Canis lupus familiaris: one gene and its partner. The protein of the gene in region 1 binds, or shares a complex with, the protein of each later gene. Links are inferred from orthologs where the notes say so. Each region holds a gene or a part of one and is shown in the gene's direction. Other genes may lie near its edges.

The links.
Region 2: the proteins of pre-mRNA-processing factor 40 homolog A (region 1) and SF1 are in contact, whole or in part, in an NMR structure (PDB 8PXX), measured with the Homo sapiens proteins. The link is inferred for Canis lupus familiaris from reciprocal best matches to the Homo sapiens genes PRPF40A and SF1. Residues at the interface, in NP_001352526.1 of Homo sapiens: His164, Ser166, Tyr172, Tyr174, Ser181, Thr182, Trp183, Tyr213, Tyr215, Ser222, Arg223, Trp224; in NP_004621.2 of Homo sapiens: Pro575, Pro576, Leu577, Pro578, Pro579, Gly580, Ala581, Pro582, Pro586, Pro587, Pro588, Pro589, Pro590.

Annotation. Positions count from the first base shown.
Region 1 is NC_049240.1:55,427,910-55,431,725, reverse strand, and holds part of pre-mRNA-processing factor 40 homolog A, read left to right. Parts: intron 1-2,868; coding exon 2,869-2,977; intron 2,978-3,472; coding exon 3,473-3,537; intron 3,538-3,816.
Region 2 is NC_049239.1:52,884,958-52,889,346, forward strand, and holds the start of SF1 (splicing factor 1), read left to right. Parts: upstream 1-1,454; coding exon 1,455-1,842; intron 1,843-3,147; coding exon 3,148-3,276; intron 3,277-4,389. UniProt on the Homo sapiens protein: Necessary for the ATP-dependent first step of spliceosome assembly. Binds to the intron branch point sequence (BPS) 5'-UACUAAC-3' of the pre-mRNA. May act as transcription repressor.

The DNA of each region.
Region 1 (3,816 bases):
GAGGAATGTTGGAAAAGAATGCCAGAGTTGGGAGCATCTTAATGCCTTACAAAGCTGTGATCAAGACAGCATGGTACTGCATGAAAACAGACACATAGGTCAGTGGAACAGAATAGACAACCCAGAAATGGACTTCGAACTCTATTAGTCAACTAATCTTTTGACCAAGTAGGCAAGAATATTCAATGGAAAAAAATAAACAGTCTCTTTAGTAAACAGTACTGGGAAAGTTGGACAGCCACATGCAGGAAAATGAAACTAGACCAATCTCTTACACCATACACAAAGATAAACTCAAAATGGTTGAAAGACCTAATGTGAGACAGGAATCCATTAAAATTCTAGAGAAGAACACAGGCAGCAACTTTTTTGACCTCGATGACAGCAACTTCTTGCAATACCCATCTCTAAAGGCAAGCGAAGCAAAAGCAAAAATGAACTTTTAGGACTTCATCAAGATATAAAGCTTCTGCACAGCAGAGGAAGCAGTCAACAAAACTAAAAGGCAGGCTGTGAAATGGGAGAAGATATTTGCAAATGACAGTTAAGGGGCTAATACCCAAGATCTATAAAGAACTTTAAAACACCCAAAAAACAAATAATCCCGTCAAGAAATGGGCAGAAGACATGAACAGACATTTCTCCAAAGAAGGCATACTGATGGCCAACAGACACATGAAAAATTGCTCAACATCACTTGGCATCAGGGAAATACAAATCAAAACTTCAATGAGATACCACCTCACACCAGTCAGAATGGCTAAAACTAACAAGTCAGGAAATGACCTTTTGAGGAGGATATGGAGAAGAAGGAATCCTTTTATTACACTGTTGGTGGCAAGCTGGTGTAAAACCACTCTGGAAAACCGTATGGAGGTTCCTCAAAAAGTTAAAAATAGAGCTACCCTATGACCCAGCAATTGCACTATTATCTACCCCAGAGATACAAATGGAGTAAAAGTGCACCCCAATGCTCATAGCAGCAGTGTCTGCAATAGCCATAGTGTAGAAGGAGCTGAGATGTCCTTCAACAGAAGAATGGGTGAAGGAAAGGTGGTGTGTGTGTGTGTGTGTGTGTGTGTGTGTGTATTATATATATAATATATATAATAATATACACATTAATGCACAATAATATATATTATATATATATAATATACACAATGGAATATCACTTGACCATCAGAAGGGATGAATACCTACCATTTACATCAACATAGATGGGACTGGAGGGTAATTAAGTAAAATAAGTCAATCACAGAAAGACAATTACATGGTTTCCCTCATATGTAGAATATAAGCAATAGTGGAGAGGGAGGGAGGACTACAAGGGAAGGGAGGGAAAACTGGGGAAAAAAGTCAGGGAGGGAGACAAAGCATGAGAGACTATTAACTCTGGGAAACAAACTGGGGGTTGCTGTAGTGGAGAGGTAGGTGGGGGATGGAGTAACTGGGTCAAGGACATTAAGGAAGGCACGTGATGTGATGAGCACGGAGTGTTATACACAACTGATGAATTACTGACCACTACATCTAAAACTAATGATGTACTATATATTGGCTAATTGAATTTAAATTAAAAAAAGATACATACTCCAGCATGTTGAATGATTATTAATTACATATATGTAAATTTCAGTGTTCTGATAGACATTGAAAGTTTTGGGATGGTATTTTATATATCCTTTTATACTTTTTTTTTTAAAGATTTTATTTATTCATGAGAGACACACAGAGAGGGGCAGAGACATAGGCAGAGAGAGAAGCAGGCTCCCTGTGGATCGACCGGACCCCAGGATCATGTCCTGAGCCAAAGGCAGATGTCCAATCGCTGAGCCACCCAGGCATCCCTATACTTTTATTTTTTTCTACAATAATTTGTTTTTCGTAATTTCAGCAACAATTACTTTCTGCTTATTTTCTTTCTAGTATTTCCTTCTAGTACCTGAATCGTCATAAACTTTTTAATTTCTGCAACATATACCATTTACAGGTGGTAATTTTTGACTGGGCCCTTTATACTATTTCTGATAATTTTGAATAAATTTCCCAAAGTAAGGTTACTTGACTCAGAGGGTATGAATATATTTTGTGTAGTTGTTCCATTTAATATTTGCTCCATTCTCTTCCCCTAAGCATTCTGGTTCTTTTTTTTTTTTTCCTGCGTTATTTTACCTTTATATAGGAAGAGATGTTAGTAGTATATGATCTTTTCATTTTATAAAGACCCCCAAACTAGTGCAGTTGGTAATTCTTGAATATTTTCATTCTTTTTGTTTGATATCAATGTTTGACATACTTTTTTGTGAATTACAAAAGAATATATATATACTTTCAGTTTTGTGGATCAGTCTTAAAATGATGCCGTCCTGTGGTAGCATATAAGAAGCCATAATATATAAACTTATGAGTAAAACTATATGTATAGAAACAGATAGTGGGCTAGATTTGGTTCTCATGAATTGTAGTTTTTCCCATTCCTGATTTAGGTACTCTCAATATCTTTATATTTATGCACACTTGCCCAAATCCTTAGTTACTAAGGCCACTAAAATGAAAACACTAGGTAAGTTTTATAGACCATTTAAAAGTATTCATTTGTGGACTAGTGGAACTAATGTTTTAGTGTCATTGTTTTTTTAGAGGCCCCTATGCAGGGTCCTAATAACTGAATGTTCCAGGAAAAAAGTGTATTACCTTTATGTCTTTATGTTTAAGTAAGTGTGTAGGGTTCATACGGGAGAATTTATTTCTAAAATTATAAAATTTAACCTCAATATCAAATGCTTAAATGATTAAAACATTGTTTTTATAAGCGAAGCAAATGTTTACTTAAGTTATAAATACCATATTTAAATTTCCCTCTAGTTTTACTCCAAAAAAAGAAGAGGAGGAAAGCCAACCAGCAAAAAAAACCTATACTTGGAATACAAAGGAGGAAGCAAAGCAAGCATTTAAAGAATTATTGAAAGAAAAGGTATTAAAGATTTTTATATGACGTGCAATAATTAATAATAAAGTTACTGTTTAATGCAATCAGCACCTTGATGCCTTTTTTGAAAATGCTAATCTCATAAAATGTTGTAACCAAAAATGAACTAAAGTTTTTTGGAGAATATTTCTGTGAAACTGATTTTAACCAAAAAAAATTTTTGTGAATAGTGTATAATACACAGCACATTCTACCTCTGTATGTAATTATGTTTTTTTATTCATAATCTTTTATCTTTTAACCAGTAGTCATAAGAAAAGTATCCTTGCTCTGTTTAAATTTCAGTTTAAGTTTTCTTTTTAGTCTGTACATATATTACCCAGGTTTGCCTTGGTTCAATAAGAAATTATTAGACCTCTTTCAAATTTGAGCAAAGGGAAGTGCTTGATGTTTGCAGTGAGTATTATACTTTATTTCCTGTTGTATGACTTTTACAGTATTTGTGCAAAATTTTAATTTTTGACATTAAATGGTTTTCAGCGGGTACCTTCTAATGCTTCATGGGAACAAGCTATGAAAATGATCATTAATGACCCAAGATACAGGTAATACTTGAAGGTTTTTTTTTTTTTTTTTGAAGTTTTTTATTTACTTTTCCAACTCTAGCAAATTCACAATTGTGTAAAATAGTGTAACTTTTGACTTTGTCTTCTGTTATTTTGGATACCAAGAATAGTTTTTTTATGTCAGATATGAACCAAAAAGCTTCTCATTCAATTTGAGTACAGATGAAATTAGAAGTTTTTGTAAAATAGAAATTATTCTCTGTAATCATTTCTTAATTTTTTATATCTTATTGAAATTTTCTTAATTTGTGAATGAAG
Region 2 (4,389 bases), on another chromosome or scaffold:
AATGTTTTATTATCTGTTGGCTTTTATCCTACAGTTCTAATTTCTTTAGTGATCAAGTATATATTTACTAGTCTGAGTTTCTTGTTTTCCTTAAGTCTCCACCTCTAGATAACCCTGTTGGTCTCCTATATTGTTATTTTAGGTCTGTTTTATTGTTTAAGATCCTATACCATTTGTTAGCTGAATCTTTACTGAATCTACACATGGGGAATCTATTTCTGGTCTATTCTGTCGCGCTCATCTGTCTTTCCTTCAACAAATCACATTGTTTCATTACAGTGTCTTGCACACTATTCCGAAAAGCGAGTTCCTCCTCAACCTCGTTTACAGGTTTCCCCACTATTCTCATAATTATATGACTTTAAGATGATGTAATCAACCCCCAACCTAGTTGATTCTATGGAAATACAATGTATTTGCAAATTAATTTTGTTTTTTTTTTTGTTTTGGTTTTTTTTTTGTTGTGCAAATTAATTTTGAAATCGAATTATTATTGTTTTCTGCCTAAGATGATGTGTTCTTCCATAGGCTCAGTATCGCTTTGATCCTTCAAATAGACTATTTTATAGTTGTTTTTTTTGTTTTGTTTTTTGTTTTTTTTTAAGAAAACAGGAAGTCCCTTTTTACCTGCGGCGCGTCAACGGTTCCGGTTTACGGTCGCGCGCCAGCCCCTCCCCCGTCCCTCGGTTCCGGGTTACTATGGGAATCGAGACTTAACGTCACTAAGGGCTTCCGCGCCGGACCAAGGAGTCGACCATGAAGCGAAGGTCGGAGAGGCAGCCTTGCCCCATCTACGCATGCGCTCTCCTCTCCACTCCTCCCCGGCCGTAAATCTCGTTCTGCCGGGTACCGCCGCGACCTCTCGCTTAATCCCAGAGAAACTGCTCCCCGGGGGAGGAGTAGAAAAAGAACCGGACAAGCGACAGCCAATCCCATGACACTACGACGCAACCGAGCATTGACCCAATCAACTTCAACCAATGAGAAAGACCCTGCCCCCTACGTCACAGAGCTTGCCCCGCCCCATTCCCCTCCTTTCTGGACTCCGAGCTCAGTTCGCGCAGTAACAAATGAAGTGCGCGCTGCGACACCTCCCAGCTCGCCAGGCTCGGCCGCCATTTCTTCCCCCCGGCCTAACGGTCCGGCCAATCCCAGCGTGCATCGAGAGGGGCTAAGGCTCCGCCAATCGGAGGCCGCCGATTCCGACCCCTTGCCTGGGCTCGGCCCAATCCAGGACTCGGACCCGTCGCCCCCGGACCGCCCCCGCGGCGCCCTCTCTCCTCCCTCTTTGTGCGTCTCGCGCCGCCGCCGCCGCCGCCCGCCGCGTGAGAGGACGGGCTCCGCGCGCTCCGCGGCAGCGCAGTCGGGTCCCCTCCCCCCGGAAGGTTCGCGAAGAAGCCGCCGCCGCCACCACCGCCTAAAAGGAGCCGCCGGTGCCGGTCCCCGGGGGCGCCATGGCGACCGGAGCGAACGCCACGCCGCTGGGTAAGCTGGGCCCCCCCGGCCTCCCCCCCGTTTCCGGGCCCAAAGGGGGCTTCGAGCCGGGGCCACCGCCTGCTCCCGGGCCTGGGGCGGGGCTGCTGGTGCCCGGGCAGCCGCCGCCCCCGCCCGTGGGCTCGGTGGGAGCCCTGACCGCGGCCTTCCCCTTCGCGGCGCTGCCGCCGCCGCCACCGCCGCCGCCCCCGCCTCCCCAGCAGCCGCCGCCGCCGCCGCCCTCCCCGGGCTCCTCGTACCCGCCGCCGCAGCCTCCCCCTCCGCCGCCGCTCTACCAGCGCGTGTCGCCGCCGCAGCCGCCGCCACCCCATCAGGACCAGCAGCCGGGCCCGGCCGGCGGCGGAGGAGGTGAGTCGGGCCGAGAGAGCGCGAGAGGCGTCGCGCGGACGGGCCCGGCCGCCTGAGGGGCGCGCGGCGGCGGCGACGGCGGCTGCACGCGGCAGGGGCGCGCGCGCGCACGGGGAGGCCCCGGGCGGAGGCGCCAAGGGGCGCGCGGCCCGGTTCTCGGGCCCCGAGTGCGCACGCGCACTGGAAGGGGTGGGGGGGTGGAGCGCGGAGGGTGTTGTGCGCAGGCGCAGTATGGCTGCCGGGCTTTGTGGCCCGATAATAAATGGAAATGGGGTGGGGGGGCTCTGTGTTGCTCTCTACAGCTTGGTACAGGAGAGGGGTGTCGAGCGGGTTGAATTGGTGGACGGGTTGAGGGATGTGCGTGTCGGGAGGGCGTGAAAGGGTCAATTGATGACGTGGAGCACCTTTCTGATTCTAGAGAAGTCCAAAAGGTAGGAAAGCGAGAGTAATTTATCTCTCTGTGCGAAGTTTTTACTGCAGTGAAAGGAAGAGCTCGAAAAATCCTCAGTGGTGTGGTTGGAGCCGGTGCACTTTTGGAGGAAGGAATATTTTCCTAATCTCCATTCGTTTATCTTAGAGAAGTCTGATATGTCTCCCCTTAGTTGTTGGGGCTTTCCAAGTAGAACTGATTTGTGTGTACCAGATGTGTAGAAAGTTTACGCTTCTGTTTTGGAGGAGGAGTATTTGGCTGCTGTTGGATAGCTTGTATTTTGTTGAACTTTTGATACCTCATTTAGGAGTTCTGATGTTAAGTGTCTAAATTAGCCAGGAAAACTGAATGCTTATCTTGACTAAACTTCTGAAGAAAAAAGTGAGCTTTTTGAAGAATTGGGCTTTTTCACTTAGTAAATTGTAAGTTTGGTTGTGTTCTGGTCCCTTTAGAAAGGTGGCTGGTGGGGTTTGGAGGTGGGAAGAACCAACAGTTTTCTCAGCATACTTTACCACATCTGATTATTCGGTATATTTTGTCTCCCCTGGGGTTTTTAAAACATTTGTGGTTGATGTTGCATATCTGAAACTGTAGGGATTAAGATTTGTTAGCTTGTTTACATACTTCACGTTTTTTTGACATATGTTATAAATATGAAATATGTTTTTGGACCCAGAGCCAGGTATCTTTGTGGCGGCTGTGTGTCTCTGATTTCTTGGGTATGTCTTCCATTTTTTGCCATTTACGTTTTAGGTCAAGTTCTCAGTTTCCCAGTCTGCCGAGGTTGTGTGTAGTATTATAAGTATCGTGAACTGCCTGTTGGTAGTTAGTTTGTTGGTTTATATTTGTATTTGATGGGTTTTCTCTGCCTTTAGACTTCCCAAGTAAGAAGCGGAAGAGGAGCCGCTGGAACCAAGATACAATGGAACAGAAGACAGTGATTCCAGGAATGCCTACAGTCATCCCCCCTGGACTTACTCGGGAACAAGAAAGAGCTTATATAGGTAAATACACGTTCTGCACCCAAATATGTTTTCGGATTGTTATGACTTATTCTGAGCAGCGTTTTATGTGTCCTAAATTTGAGACTTTAAAGTCTTGTTCTTTTGAGATGAGGTATGGTCAGGTGTACTTTTATGACTTCGACATAATCCATCAGTTTTTGCTCTGTAAGTCCTGCATTTGAAGCTCCTGGTTTCGGTCTGTTCGTAACAGCAGTGTTCTCCATGAGTGCCAGGAAGGTAGAGGGACCCATTTAGGAGTGAGGGTAGTCCCCAGTCCAGTACCCCACCCTACACTTTTCAGCTGCTGTTCATTGCCCGTTGGTGAGGTGAGTGTCTTCTGCCTCTCTGGACACGGCCCCAAGTGGAGAACACTGCAGGTATTATAAACTAAGTACCTTTTTCACAGCATGGCCTTTCACCATTTCATATTCTTCCCTCCCCTTCAAATGTGGTCTTTTACTTTTTATAGGTACTTTCTGAAAAACTCAGTTTAATCAAAGAGTGGTCCTGAAAGTGTTGGCAGTATACATCCCTTTTTACGATTTTGTTGAATTTAACCTTTCCTTCAGCATCTTTTCTGGTTTGGTCTTTGGAGAGCTGCCTTAAAACGAAGGCTCTTTTACTATTTATTATCAAAGAATTCTGCTGGGAAAGGGGTACTACTTGGATATGGCATGAGGTGATAGGGTAAAAAAGATCTTAACTGTTGGGAAATTTCAAGACAATAATTATAGTAATTGTCCACAATGTAAATGAAGTTAACCTCAAAATTACCTTTTTTTAAATACAAGGTTTTTAATGCGAGTTTCACCTTTATTCATGTATCTCCAGCTGTCTCCAAAAAGTTCACTTGATAAGCATTTCCTACTAACCAAATAAACATCCCCTTTGGAGTAAATTAGGGCAAAGGCCGCCTAGGCCTGGGAGGCTGTAGCCTTTACAGATAAAAAGCTTCAAGGCTGGCATGTGTTATTCTTGAGGATCATAATCTCTTACATTTTTTAATTGCTGAGAGTTTTGAGGTGTTGGAATTGTTTGTTTTTACAGTACTAATATTTCTTCTTTCCCCACTGTTCCAATTTACTCCTATCCACCTCCTTGTCTCATTAGATT